Drosophila melanogaster: one gene and its partners. The protein of the gene in region 3 interacts with the protein of the main gene of each other region in a pairwise test. Each region holds a gene or a part of one and is shown on either strand. Other genes may lie near its edges.

Evidence for each region. Proteins that work in one complex are often made in the same cells at the same time.
Region 1: the proteins of CG8924 (region 3) and Cfp1 interact in a two-hybrid assay, tested with the Drosophila melanogaster proteins (one large-scale study listed by BioGRID).
Region 2: the proteins of CG8924 (region 3) and Smyd4-2 interact in a two-hybrid assay, tested with the Drosophila melanogaster proteins (one large-scale study listed by BioGRID).

What each region holds. Positions count from the first base shown.
Region 1 is NC_004354.4:9,269,910-9,274,992, reverse strand, and holds Cfp1 (CXXC finger protein 1), read left to right. Parts: upstream 1-2,032; 5' UTR 2,033-2,103; coding exon 2,104-2,327; intron 2,328-2,389; coding exon 2,390-3,077; intron 3,078-3,138; coding exon 3,139-4,218; 3' UTR 4,219-4,559; downstream 4,560-5,083. Other genes in the region: aladin, read right to left, coding at 1-66, 303-679, 737-1,021, 1,082-1,479. UniProt on the Drosophila melanogaster protein: Component of the SET1 complex that specifically di- and trimethylates 'Lys-4' of histone H3. Essential for Set1 association with chromatin and trimethylation of histone H3 at 'Lys-4' at transcription puffs.
Region 2 is NT_037436.4:12,399,015-12,403,944, forward strand, and holds Smyd4-2 (SET and MYND domain containing, class 4, member 2), read right to left. Parts: upstream 2,922-4,930; 5' UTR 2,807-2,921; coding exon 2,236-2,806; intron 2,178-2,235; coding exon 1,835-2,177; intron 1,775-1,834; coding exon 1,238-1,774; intron 1,179-1,237; coding exon 957-1,178; intron 902-956; coding exon 583-901; 3' UTR 525-582; downstream 1-524. Other genes in the region: CG32104 (uncharacterized protein), read right to left, coding at 1-53, 127-253.
Region 3 is NC_004354.4:15,939,530-15,945,005, reverse strand, and holds CG8924 (uncharacterized protein), read right to left. Parts: upstream 3,930-5,476; 5' UTR 3,374-3,929; intron 2,635-3,373; 5' UTR 2,555-2,634; coding exon 1,716-2,554; intron 1,657-1,715; coding exon 951-1,656; 3' UTR 557-950; downstream 1-556.

The sequences.
Region 1 (5,083 bases), 6.7 Mb from region 3:
GATTCGCATCAATGCTACAAGCATTTAGATCTGCAATGGGCAGGATTTCCTTCTCATCCGCCGAAGCTGCAAGGAGATACAAAAACGGAATATGTTAAATATCAACTAGTACATTGGTACCGGTTTTTGTTTTTGTAGTCAGCATTATACAGGCGGTCTGTAAGCTGCAACAGCCGCCAACCTGTTACTGACTGCTTTGATCTGGGGCAGCCCCAAATCGCACCCTTGTATCTGACCACCGTTTCAGTTCAGACACTGGGAGCAGACTGCCCTGAATACGTACTCAAAGCTTTCGTACTTACAGGATAGCAGACTCTGTTGCACGAACTGCAGGCGGTAGAGAATCGGTTCGGCACTGCTGACGAAGAGCAGGAAGCGACCGCAGGGCGACCAACAGGCTGTTTGGACATAGCCTCCGGGACCGCACACCCATCGCTCGGTGGTCCATTGCTGGTGGCAGTTCCACACGCGGAACACCCGATCCACGGTGGCTGCGAACAGCCAGTCATTATCCGGCGACCACTTCAGCAGCGAGCCCGGCGGACCCAAACGCTTGAGTGGCTGCATCATTCCGGTGTCCGGCTGCCAGATAATAATGGAACGATCTCCTATTGAGGCGGTGGCCAACTGGGTGCCATCCTTGTTCCACTGCATCGAGGTTATTGGCAGATTGTTTGGGCTAAAAGGGAAAATAAGTTATGTATTTACCAACTAACGATAAATTTTCTATACTGACTATTTAAAAATCTCGCTGGGTGCATTTGTGCGTCCCAAATGCAAAGTGCTGTCCACTTCCCAGAAACACAGACCCTGCCGACAACCTATCACGATCTCGGAAGCGCAGAGTGGACGCCACGCCATGCAGGTGATCTGCGTTTGGGATGGACTCTTTAAAACAGTGGCAGTGGTCGCACTGGAACTCTTTGTGTAGATGCGCACCACATCGTCTACACCGGCTACGGCTAAGCAAAAGAAGTGCTGATTCCAGGCAAGATAGCGCACATCGCTGTTGAGCCAATCCCTGAATGAATGGGACAGTAAGGTTTAGGTATTATTGGTCAGTTGGCTGCGCCCCACCCACCTGGTCTCCACGAACTGAGCAATACGCTCTGCACTAAGCTGCTGGGTGTGCGGGAGGATCCTCAGGCCGGTGGCCAGGCCCAGAAATTGTGCGATTAAATCACCCGCCTGGGCAATAAGCGGCGCCTGCTCCCTGGTCTCTGGGCTGCGTGCCTCCTCCAGCGTCTTCCAGAATCCGCCATTAAAGAAGCTGCGAGCTATGCGCTTTAGGACACCCTCATTCACAGATACGAAGCTCTGTCCGCCGTAGTACCGCTGACCAGCCGGATTGGCCAGAAGTTCGCTGTTCAGGTTTATCTGCGGATAGCGTTCCAGCTCTGGGATGTGATTGTGCCGCAGCGCCAGATCCGGCAGCGTGGAGAACGGCGGACACTGTTTTAGGTTGCTCAGGGCCGCCATAATTGCAGACTATTCACATTCAATTCAGTTCAGTTGAGAAAAAATGGTAACGAAATACAAAGAAAAAACCGCGCGGTTATTAGAGGTGAGAAAAAGCCGACAATGTCAGTGGTAATTCGATGCTTAATTTTTCTATCGATGTTTAATTTTACGAAACTTCGAAAATACTGGGCCGCGGCAAAATCTTAAAGATTATCGAAAAATAAAAATTAGGTATATATAAAGTAACAATCTTTTGTAGGTTTTATATTCACGTTGTTTCTCTTTCAAGAACTCTATTTAATCTCATAGATCTCGAACACACTATCGTTTGTTATTAAGACTATGGAATTAGTTCTCTCGATATAAGTGTTACGAAGCATTTTATATTTATACACAGCTTACAATAAATACCTAAAATTGTTTTTATTGTATAGTCATACATCAATTAAAATCTACAACGTAGTTTTATGCTAAATATTATATATTTTATTAGGCCAGAACCTATCGATTGTCTGCAATACATTATTAGTAGGCTATCGATATCCTTTCATTCACCATCTCCATCGCAAAAAAAAATTCCATGAAACTTAATTGACGGATTTGGATTTGGACTGGATTTGTTGTCGGAAAGATTGCTGCGAGATGACGGACAAGCGCAAATATAAGAAGACCGTAAGTTTCACCCGCTGCACGGCAATCATATTTTTAACTACAAAGGAGGTTTCCAAACAGAAAGAGGAAATCAGGCGGGAGATCGCACGGGAATTTGATTTGCCTGAGCGCAAGTCCAAGATAGCCACCATTCTAAAGCAGGAAGACCAAGCGTACTGCATATGCCGCTCCTCCGACTGCTCCAGGTTCATGATGTGAGTTGAATGGCCTTAAAGGGCTAGATCCCGGCTAACTACTTGTACCCTTCGCTTTCCAGAGGCTGCGATGGTTGCGAGGAGTGGTACCACGGCGACTGTATAGGGATCACCGAGAAGGAGGCTAAACACATCAAACAGTACTACTGCCGGCGCTGCAAAAAGGAGAATCCCGAACTACAAACCATATTCCGCCTGGTGGCCACCGAACGGGCAGCCGCATCGAACGCCGCCTCTACAAGTCTCAATGCCCCGGGCGTAGGTCCATCGGGAGCTGCGCCTGCTGCTGCACCGGTGGCGTCCGCAACAACCAGCCAGCAAGCGCCGCCACCGACCACTGCGGCAGCGAAGCGCAAAAACAGCAGCGCCCGAGAACCAAAGATGGGCAAACGTTGTGGTACCTGTGAGGGATGCCGGCGTCCCAATTGCAACCAGTGCGACGCGTGCCGCGTTCGCGTGGGCCACAAGCCGCGCTGCATATTCCGCACCTGCGTTGTCCAGGCGGCGACGGTCTTAAAGGAGTCGCAGGCAACTCAAGCCGGCCCAAGTAGGAAGCGGGAAAAGGCGGCACCCAAGAGTCGCAATGTCCAAGTGGGCCCGCGGGCGGCCAGTCCGGAGATATTCCTCAATCCGGAGCTACAAGGCATCCGGCAGTGCTACGGACCCAATTGCTGCTCCCATGCGAGACCGCAGAGCAAGTACTGCAGCGATAAGTGTGGCTTCAATCTGGCCACAAAACGCATCTTCCAGGTTAGTTTCATTTTTTGGCCAGACTATGACAATTAAACACCAAAGTCCTTTACACTCTCAGGTTCTGCCGCAACGACTGCAAGAGTGGAATCTAACGCCCAGCCGCGCCGCCGAGGAAACACGCAAGCATCTTGATAACATTCGTCATAAGCAGTCCCTGGTGCGTTTCGCACTTGCCGAGCTAGAGAAGCGCTCCGAAGAGCTCAACATGGTGGTGGAGCGAGCCAAACGAAGCTCCATTGATACATTGGGGTCACAAGACACCGCCGACATGGAGGACGAACAGAGCATGTACTGCATCACCTGTGGCCACGAGATTCACTCGCGCACTGCCATCAAGCATATGGAGAAGTGCTTCAACAAATACGAATCGCAGGCCAGCTTCGGGAGCATATTCAAAACGCGAATGGAGGGAAACAATATGTTTTGTGATTTCTACAATCCGGCAAGTAAGACTTACTGTAAGCGATTGAGAGTATTGTGTCCGGAGCACAGCAAGGATCCGAAGGTGAACGATACGGATGTGTGTGGTTCGCCCTTAGTGAACAACGTCTTCAATCCCACGGGCGAGTTTTGTCGTGCGCCAAAGAAGAATTGCTTCAAGCACTACGCCTGGGAGAAGATCCGGCGTGCTGAGATAGATCTGGAGCGTGTGCGTCAATGGCTCAAGATGGACGACCTGATGGAGCAGGAGCGCGTGATGCGGCAGCAGCTCACCTCGCGAGCGAACCTGCTCGGCCTGATGCTGCACTCCACCTACAACCACGAGGTGATGGACGAGCTGGTGCGCAAACAGCAGGAGCATCTGGTAGAGTTCGAGAAGCAGAGGCGACGCCTGGCTCACCAGCAACAAATACAAACACAGCAGAAACAGTACCAGGAAAAGCAGAAGCTAATGTTGCAGCAACAACAGCAACAGCAACAACAGCAGCAGCAACAACAACAGCAGCAACAACAGCAGCAGCTGCAACAACCACAGCAGCAGCAACAACAGCAGCAGCAACAACAGCAGGAGCAACAGCAACTGCAATTGAAGCCACATCATCTGCAGCAACTTCAACTTCAACTGTTGCAGCAGCAGCAAAAGAAGGCCCAAATACCACAGAAAACTCAAATTATATACCTGCAGAAAAAAACATAGATTTGTAGTCCCCTAATCATAGCAAGAACTAACAATAAACTGACGTCCAAGAAATATTTTTCTACGACAGTAATCTTTGGACTTACCCGACGCAAAGTTTCTAGTGTCGCCTTTCTCCTGGCAACCGCATAACACGCTCGCCAGCTGTTGGGTCCGCTTCCCGGCCAGTAGTAGGTTGCTACGCGCCGGGATCGGCGGTACGCCCATGTTTGTTATTGAAAACTAAGCATCAAATATGCATTTATTGATAGCAACATGCTATTAATACATTAGGCCAGCTCAACCGTGGATATCATTCACATGGATTACATTAGCACACACCTTAATATTAGTTTATTAGCTGGATTCAAGTTATTTATAATTTCTATATACGATTTGTTTTCTGTTCATTGTTAGTTTGTATTTAGAAATAATCTAGAAAATAAGTTAGCATATTAAATACATTTTCTTAAGCTGTAGGCTTTTTTTAATAATGCAGGTTAATATTACTGCATTAAACAAAGTCATGAAAAAAAGAATACTCTACGCTCAACATATTTTGAAGATCATATAGACATAGGCCACCGAGTCCGGGTTTTGATATCCGAAACAATGGTTCCGGGTAAATGAAGAGCGGGGGGCAACCATTGGAAACGGCAGGACCTTGAAAACGATGGAGGCTATGGATTAGAGTGGGCATGCTGTAGTTGGGAGCCAAAAGGAATGTCAGGACGCACAAGTGCAGTGGAAATTTCAAGCGAGTCTGAACGAATCCGGCTACCCGGGCAATCAAGTAGTCGTGGCGATTTGTGACTGTTCCCCCAGACGAACTGTCAAAAATGCCAGTCGTTGTCCGGAACTTTTCTACATCACACACGACCTGCTG
Region 2 (4,930 bases), on a different chromosome or scaffold from region 3:
ACGCCCCAATTTTGCCTGCTCCCGTCTTTGCGCAAACATGGACTTTTTAGGAGCTGCATTTGTGAAAAAATTCAACAATAAATGTATTTAATAAATATTTGGTAAGCAGAGGGAATCTGGCCGCACCTTTATCCATACGCACAAAAGCCGCTGCAGGCTGGAAATTGGGATCCTTCGCTCTCTCTGCATTGAACTCTGCTGCCATTCGCAGGACATCCTCCTCACTTTCACCTGGCTTAAGTTTTTTAAACATTTTAGCCGGAAAAACAAAACCAAATAGATTTCAAAACAAGTCGGCTGCAGTGTGGCCGTACCTTTAGAAAATACCACCAACATTCGTTTCCATTAACAGACACTTAACAGGGCAGCATTTACAGAGCTATGTTATTGCGAAAACATTTCAATTGTAAAATTCCCAGTAAAGTTTCCAATTAGATTTCAGTAATGAGGAAGGCGGGCAATTTAAAAAAATTGCATGTACACCATTTACACCTACATCATTAAAATGAAATTTAATTTGCATTCAAGTAGAAAAAAACGATTTAATAATACAAGTGCACACGCCATTAACTAGTTTTTCGTTCATTTCCCTTCCTTTTTAAATGTGGTTCCCGTATCGGACAAACACTTATGCAGCGACTGCTGCGCCACTATGGTGTCCTTGTGAGGCAGTGCAGCCACTTGGAAGAACATATCGAGCGACTCCTTGAAAAGTTCTATGGCCTCCACGGTTTTCTGGGCCTCCATGGCTCGCGCAGCCTCTCGATACAGCTCCTCGATCTTGATCATCTTGGCTACGCTCTCCTTGAGTGAGATGTTCTTGCGGCAGCGAGGACAACGCACATCCTTTGCCAAATCCTTGGGGAACTTGAGCAAATTAGAGCAGTTGGCTGAGGTGCACCTTTAATAATGAAAGATATTATAGTATATCGATTGATAGCGAGGCTAGTACCCACCAGAATCGCACTTGCTTGTCCAGTTTCTGGAGCAGTGGCCAGTTCTCCTGGCAGGCCATGCAGCTGCAGCTGAAGGAGTAGCGTCCTCGCAGAGATCGCTGTCTCTCCTTCAAGTTGTTTTTGATGAAAATGGGTCCGTAGTTCACGGCCACCAATTCATTGGCACGATGCGGCCTGGTGGCTGTGAGGACCAGCTTCTTGCCAACAAAATGACAAGCGGTGCTTAAATTATAAGACGAATCCTTAATGATCTCTATAATATTCAAGATAATACAACTCACCTGGGCCAGCACTCGTGATTGAAGTAGGAACCAGTACCATAAAGTCCTGCGGCCAGATACACCGTCTTACTGCCGTCGAAGCGATGCTCCTCGGTCACTTGGGTTTGATAGATCTGGTGGGCATTGTACTGGAGCACCTGCAGCAGGCCCAGCAAAGCGGTGGCCACCTGCAGCTCCACCGCAGTTGGATTCACTCCCTCAGTTTTGCGACGTCCGAAGTACAGCGACTTCTGTAGAATGCGCAACAGGAAGCCAGACATCAGAGCTCGCCGCAAGTAGTCGTCCGGCTGGCGGTCCTCCTCGTGGGAGCACAAGTGCTCGAAGAGCAGATTGGCGGTGGCCAAGCCCTGCTCCAAGCTGGGCGCCTGTGTGAAGATGCGCAGCGCGATGAAGCACAGGATGGACATGCCAGAACCGATCATCAAGTCCATATACTCGCACTCGAAGCGATGGTAACTGGAGCAGGCCTCGCCCATGCACTGGGCGGAGCAGAAGGCGATTCCCGAGCAGTGGAGACAGGAAACGGGAGTGTGCAGCCTGCAATTAATGGGATTCTTTGACAGCTTGACAGCTGACTTCACATTATTAATCCCTTACCTCTTGAAGCAATGATGACAATGAGTGCCAAAGTAACTGGGCTCCAAACAGGCGGCCACTGGCTCCTCGAAGAGCAGAACGTCGCCGGTTCTCAGACCCTCGTTGGCCACCACAAAACGACCCTTGTCCTTGGTCTCCACCAGCCTCACCACCTTGGACGCACCAACTAGTTCGGCACTCTCGCCATGTGCCAGTTGTGGCACCTGTTCCGAGGTGGCTTCCTTGGGTTTCGGCTTTACTGATGATAGTTCCTTGCGGCACAGTGCGATGTGGGTGGCATCACAGCCAGGCATTTTCTCGGCTATCTTCAATGAGATCTCAGCGCGGGCAGGTTCTCCCATGACTGAAAATAAAAGGATTTCCATAAGCATGATACCATCGGTTGCTCCCGGCTGACCCACCTGCATAGGCTTTGGCCATCTTTAAGTAGTAATCCACACTGGACTTGAGCTCCAGTCCAAAGTTGATGGCCAGCTTGAGGTCATTCAATGCTGCCTCCCCCTCGCCCAAGCGGATCAATATGGAAGCCCTCGATCTGTAGGCCAATGCCAAGGTGAGGCCCTCATCGAGGACAGGATCTGCATTGCGGTCGGGAGCCCGCATCACGGCCAGATTGGCGGCCATTAGAGCCTGCTGCAGCAGCTCCCTGCTCTCCTCGCCGTCGCCACTGCCGCTCATCAGGTAGAGCTTATCCGCCTGTGCACGTCGCTGGGCCGAGAAGAGGGCATCCTTCTGCTTGAACACCGGCTGTACATGCTCCAGGACACCCAGCACAGGATCGCACACCTCGCGATCGCTGAAAATGGACAGAACTCGGGCTGCATTGGACTTCAGTTTGCCAAAGTAGTTGCGCAGCCACTTGTCGCCACATGCATCACGCACGTCCACGCAAAATTCGTTGAAGAATCCCCTCCTCTCCGACTGAACCGTCTGCGCGGAGCAGATCTCGTGGTACGTGGCGTCGAACTCCATTTGGACTCAAAATTATGTAAAATCTAATTCAGATTTTCGGTGCAACGGCTGAAAAAGTGGGACTTGTCCGCGTTTTCTGATCACCACACGGCCGCTGAGTATTGGAAACAGCTGGCGGACGTTCCTATACTCCAAAAATAGCACCGATCTTTCAGTTCGGCGGCGCATTATAAATATGCGGTATTGAGTTCCGAACTAGTACTGGTTCACGTTCGATACTTCTTTGAGGATATTATTTATTTTCGAAATAAATAGAAATATTTACATGGTTTCGACTTTGACACTATTTGGATGTTTATGCTCAATTAACTTTATATCCACTTAAAATGCAAGCGATCAGTTGTAATAATTCGCATTTTATTTGTAACTGGAATCGGGCTTATAAATCACATTAAATAATTTATTTAAAAATTAGCTAAACGTACAAAAATATAACAATATGTATATCAGAGTATTTGTAGTTATATATATATTCGTAATTAAATGTTAAGTGTATTTTCATCGCGTGGAAAATACGCAAGTTGATTTCAAACTCTCGTTAATATTTAGATTTGCTCATGGACTAGATAGACTTTGTCAACCATTGTTTATCAGTTTATCATCTTGGAAAGACCTTAAGTAAGTAGAAGAGTATATTTTGTGTAACATTTTTGCGTGACACTCATTAATTTTGGTTCGCCATAATGTCAAAATGCAGAGGACAACAAACTTAAAATGATCTCAAACTACATACGAAAATCCTGTAGAAGTAAAAACAAAAGACTAATAAATTATAAACAAATTTTGCGTAGATTTCATTATAATCTTTGTATTTATTTACTCGAATAATGATTGGGTGATTTTTAATGATCAAGTCAAATGATTCAAGTGTGTTTGACTTCTTAAAAATGCGGTGCTGTGGTAAAGCGTTTTTTTTTTTTGTTTTTTGGGACAGTGATAAATCATATTTAAAAAGTCATTATTTTCACTACAGTCGTACAAAATTCAATTTGGCTAATTAAGAGTAGGGTACAAATTATACATATGCTTTTAAATTCAAAACCATTACAGTGTGTATATAAAATAGGATTGAACTTATGATTGGTCGGTTTTGCGATCGGCTTCAGATTCACATGATATATCAAATAAATTACATGGTGTATGGGTATTGTGTTGGTTTTGTTTTGTTTGTTAGCTTTCGTCACAATTAATCTCGTTGGCTTCAATTGCAATACGATCTAAGAGGAAGTGTTACTAAACTTAACAAATAAAATGCTACAAAGTTTTCTTCAGCCTCGCCGCCGAACTTGCTCAAGAGACTGCGACAGCTATTTGAAGCTTACAAGTCGGTATTTTAGTAGGTATAGGTATAGTTATATGTATTTATATGTGTATATTATAAACTATTATCATCACATTGTAAACGTTAAGTGTTTCTCATTTTTTTGTGTAATCGATTAATCTAAGCAAAAACGAGTACATCGTAGTTTTAATGTCTTTTGTGTTTAAGCTTAAACGCTGCCGAGTATCCGTATCCATCCGTCTATCCCTCGATTTCAGATACCTGATTCCCACTCGCAATCCGCCTGCCTGGCTCACTCTGATTTATGCTAAGCTAATTCGCTTTCGAAAGCAGTCGGATGGGACGAACTAAAAACCCGTGAAACTCTTCGAAGCCGGTTTCGTTTTTTTCTTTTTTTTTTTTGGTATGTGTGTTTTTAGCAGTTCACTAAGAGCGATGGCCCTCAACAAAGGTCGTAGCCTACGTACAATTGTAAATAAATTAGCTCTTAAGAGATAGAGTGGCCTAAACCTACTTGTAGGTCGCAGGATTGTTGGCCTAAGAAATGTTTTGGGATTAGCACACGGCAAAATGTTGCATTTTCTCCTTTGCGTTTGGTTTATAAATAAATTAGCCATAGTATCACTTATTTTATATTTTAAGAAAATAACCAAAAACTAATTCAACTATAAAAACTTAAAACGGATAACCCAGAACGTGGAAGAGGCCTGCTTTACACTTAAGGAAAGAAGCAGCACGAGACTGTCTCATTGCGGCAGAGAGCGAGTGGCGACCACCGAGCCGACTTAACCTAACGCTACTACTATACAAAATGGAGCACAGCGTCAGCCGGATCACCAGCC
Region 3 (5,476 bases):
GCTTACAGTGTGACCGTTGATTGAACATGAAAAGAAATAGATTCTATGAGAAGTATTCAAAAAGCGCCGTTTCCACTTCAACATTCTGCGCCTGCACTGTGCTAATCTACATACATATGTACAAATATAAAAAAAAAATGATTGACAGTAACAGTACAAATTTCAAATAATAAATTTAGCAAAAAAAAAATTGTTGTTACTTTGAATGCATTTAAACTTTTATTGCCCAATCATCTCGTACACAGTACTTATGTATTTAATAATACTTTCACAACGTAATTTATTATTGGGATTCTTGCATTTATGGCCAATTGTTATAATGACCAAAAAAAATAAGCAAACAAACAAACCGAGTAATTGTAAGCAAGTATTGAAGATTTGCGTATTCTTGTAGGAAAAGTACATGGTTTTAAAATAGATCGGATGTATTTGACCAATAATAATTACTTTACATTATTATTTAGTTTAAGCTGTTAGCATTATGATTATGTCTTTTACGACCTTCGAGTTTATTATAAATTTTCATCTTATCTTTGCAATCACACGAATACCCAGTAAAAGTTTCCAGGTCGATTTTATTTATCTTATTAACAATACAGTAATTCCTTAAAGTACTGGGGCGACAAGAAACATAATTGAAATTTTTACGCAAGTTTTTAGTCATAATCCTTGTTGATAGCATACATCTACTGTAATTTCTTATGATTGCCAAAGTAAAATGAATAATGATTGAACGGCAAGAGTTTTTCAACCAAGGATAAAACTGTGGCATCTCCAAAGCGTAATTAAGTAAACCTATGTATAAATTGTATTTTGTTGACTATGTTATGACTAAAGATCCCACACGAGCCGATGCGTACCCCGAAATGAAAGAAAGCAGCTACTGCTTGGAAATCCCTCTCTATTAATACACGCCCTACTAGTACAGCACAACTTGGCAAATTGCGTGGTTAGATCATGTGCAGCTTCTGATCGTTGAGTTTGAATGCCGCCGCATCGCTATGGAGGTGAAAAGGCACAATATCACCTGTTGTGGCCATATCAAATGATGGTGACATAGACGTTGCCGTTGCAGTTGCCGGACTATTGCTGCCACTGGTATTTGCGATGCCCGCCTTGAGATGTAGGCTGTCCATGGACATTTGCTGAGACTGCGTGTGAGGAAGGGGATTGGTGTGGATATGCGGATGGGCTGGGGGATGAGTTATGCTCGCTGGGACGGTTGAGAGTTTTCCTGAGTTTGTTGTGATTATTATGTTTCCGGCATGGGAAGCACCACGTCCACGTTTCCGCTTCGGAAGAATTCCTTTTCGCGCCATATAGAAACGAATGGTTGAGACAGGAATATTGAACATATTGCTGACAGTTTGGAATGTCTCGCCCTTCGAAACACATTTGGCCGCTTGTGCTAGAGATGCTTCTGAACGTCGAACGCGCTTATATGAAGTATAACCATCGATCGAGCTATGGCTCAGTCCTCCGGAAGTATTGGCCGATGTATCGAGATCAGTGTCAAGGCTGAGGGATAGCCCGGATCCGCATGGCACTCCTGTCGCAAAACTGCTGTCATTGTTTTCATCATGAGCGGCCACATAGTTGTGGTCGTCCTCAACATTTGAATCCAAGTATTGCTGCTGCTGAAGCTGCATTTGCATCCTGTGAAAAGATATATATATTTATCCAGAGATACTTGTCATATTAATGCAAAAACAAACCTCGCCTGCTGCAGGGATAGGTGGACATTCATTTTGTTGTCAACGGCTTGCGCAGATATATTGCAATCATCGAATTGCTCCCCGTAGGCATTCCAATTGTTCGGCACCTCGTCGCCGGAGTCATCCTCGGTTGGTGCATTCGAGTGGCTGCCCAAAACGTTCGTAGAGGTGGCCTTAGATGGCTGTTGAGCATTACTGCCATTTATCTGGGGTCGCTGCTGCACCTGCTGCTGCTGCTGCTGTTGCTGCTGCTGCCGAGCATCGGGATTCTGGCGCTTCAATACTGTGGGTTGCTGATGGTTAACCGGTAGCGGTGGAGCGGAGGAGGTGGTCATTGTTGTTGAGGTGGTTGAATTAGTGGCTGCATCGTCCGTTTCCGCGCTGTCCACATGCTTGAAGCTTCGCGCTGTGGTTGCAGCTGGATCCTTAGCAGCCTCGAGACTCGCCTGCTGGAGTTTCTTGTAGTTTATCGGTGCCTCAGAGCCGTATAGACCGCGAATCTGCAGTTGTTCGGCACAGCGAAGCAACTGGCCAAGACCGGCTTGCGTGACATTGACCTCTCCCTTGTACATGAAGTCCACAAGCGCCTGGATCTCCCATAGCTTGATCTCCCTGGGCAATATGATGACCGGGTGCTTGCAAGGATGCTCCGCTAGTATTGCCTCAAAGTAGGTGGAACAAGCGGCCAACACCAGACGATGGCAGTGCACCTGTTGGCCTTCGCATGCGAGTGTTACATCCACGAATCTCTGGCCTGCTAGCAGCTGCGGAAAAGCAGCTCCAATGCTGCCCAAATGGCTGTTCCAGCGTACACAAAATTCCTGTGTAGCGCCGCTCATCGTACTCAAAATATAGTTCGCGCCTTTACTGTGCTCCTGAGTTTACGAAGCTATCGCTCATTTAAAGATCCTTGTATATCCTGCAATAGAGTGTTGGTAAATTCCAGGATAAATTATAACTATCGTCAATAGACAATAATTCGAATATATCATAAATTCGACTCTCTTGAATGAACTAAGAATAAGGATCAAGTAATTTGACCGAATCTTTCTCGTGACATCATAATTCTAGTAGGTTTCCCTTAAAAATATTGTATTGCATATTAAGTATATATATTATATGAACTCCTTTTGTTTGATTTTTGATATATGAAAAAAAAAGATACTTCTTTTTTTTGCATTGCATTAATATTTGCATTTCATTTAATAATGGATTAAAAGAAAGAATATTTTAGCCAAATATATGAGTTTAAAAATAGCATTGTCCCTTTTCCACTTTTTTGTATTGTTTTTGCATGACAGTTACGTTATTCCTAAGTTTTTATTTGCTTTCTTTTTAGCAGTTGACCACTGTATATACATACATACATACAAACACACGAGCGTACATACAGGTGCAGAGGTATATGCTTATTTACATTTGATAATCGTCCAAATAAATAATGTCCTCAGTGTGAAACTGAGGAGAAGACCATGCGAATTTTCACTTGCCATGTTTTATGTACCCACATACATACGCACGCTTGCATAAATACATATGTACACCTCCACTAGCGATTTGCACAATTGGAATTACTTCTATATTTAGTAATAAGGATGTAAACAGTTGAATGTACGCGTTATATACATGTACGCATCCCTGCGAATCTGAATACATACCTGTTTGTTTGCCAAGGAACCGAAACTTCGCTGATTATAGTTCTTTACTTCTCGTTTTTTGGGCGCTATGTAACACAATAGATGCGATGGCGTGAAAACGAACGAGAATTTTATGTTAGGACTGTATGTCCTGTGCGCGTGAGCTATGTATGAATGTATCAGCGCCGGAGTCTTGTTTAAAAATACACACTATTCTTGCATCAAATCGTGCACAACACAAAAAAATATGTACATTTCAGGCATTAACCAATGTCTCTATTTACAATCCCTCATCGTTGTCCGTGAGTCCCATTCAATTCGTTGCTTTATTAATGTTTATTTTAACCAGAAATGCTGCATGCGCGCGATTATATTTCCTTTTTTTATGTACAACTGTTTGTTTTGACAGACTATAAACAAATAAACGGCAAATTAAAGTGCCAAATCGATTTGCACGTTATGCGCTGAGTATCTGCCTTTTTTAACTCTGCCTTCAAGCTATATTTAAATTATAAACTTAATATTGTCTTTCGCGCTGTCTGCTTCTGTAGCAATCAATTGTTATTTAAACTACGCGTTAGGCATAATTGCTGGGAATTGCAAGCGTTTCATAAACGCGTTTCTGAGTAAATGATTCTCATGTACCGGGCTTTTTTTATATTAAAGTTTGTTGTTAATTTTTCAGTTACTTAATGCATGCAATCGATAAAATTTTTTTTAGCTGAATTATCGCGGAAACAAAACTATTTATATTGAAATATTAAAATATAGATAGGGATCGGTGGGATAACAGGTTTCATATGCGAAAAAATTCCAGTCGTTCCGCTTTTATATCCACTAAGCGAAAATTGCCGAACGCAAGCATATCGATCTTTAAATGTGAAAAAGCCAACCATAAGCTAACAGGATAAATATTAAATAATAGAATAGAAAATACAAATCAATATTTGAGGTAAGGCCGTTACAGGATATTTTTGAAGAATTATCGGTAATTATCGAAATGCCCTAAAAAGTGGAAACAGTGTATTAACGGATACTTTACAATGTATGTATCACTATTATACGTTGCATATATTTCTTCTATTGTCCTTTTGCTAATATATTATGTTGCATACAAAAACTTTAACCTATTCGGCAAAATATACAATAGCTCTTACATGACAAGTGTTTGCAGCTTAAAATTTGAAGTGTACATTTTTCGCTTTCAGTCGACTGGTCACACCGTTCAACCCAAACTGACTCGGGAATTTTAGGGTGAGTGCTTTTATTTTTATTTGAGGTCTAAAAAAAACTTATGGAAGTTTACCATTGGGCATCCGCATATGTGTGGTTATTAAGTGCTTGGCTTTGACATTGTAAATTGTGCAGTCATAACGCAGCCGGATCCAACCAGACATTGTTGAAATTCCCAGTTTTCTGCGTTTTTAGAAGTAAACAAATGCTGATGCCTTCCACAACTTACATATCTACATTCGTATATAGTATCAATGTCTAATATTAAAAAATATTGTAAAAAAATGAAGAAAACAGTTACACAGTAAGGTTTGCATATGATTTTGAATCCATTTACTGCTGCCATCTAAATGTACCGTTATGTGCTGTCTTTGCAACGATATCTGTAGGAATTCATTGTATTTTACGCATTTATTTGTTTCAAATTGGAGATCAAAAACTATCCCAAATGTATTGTAACTACACAGATGTAAAACGCACATTGGTATAATATAATAGATCAGAATGATAGTATAAGTCTAGTTAGGTGTCGAAAATGTTTTGCTACAGCATCCGCAGCTAAACTTACACTAGTTAACAAAAACGCAAATCCAAATCTAAAATAACTGCCCAAAAATTAATTTTATGTTGGCGAACCGAAAACTCAACCATTTTATTACTCATGCCGTTTCCCTAATATTTGCATTTCTCAGTAAATTTGCGCTCAGGCGGTTATCTTTAAAGACCCCTAAAACTGAATCTCATTGACAAATAAAAGCCTCGTAAGTCTGTGCCCAGTAAATCTTTATTTATTGGCCAATGCAATAATACTTTCGCACACAGTTGGATTTGCTTGATTATTTAATCAATTTTCTTTACGTACTATACGCTTCGGTCACTATGGAATTTAAT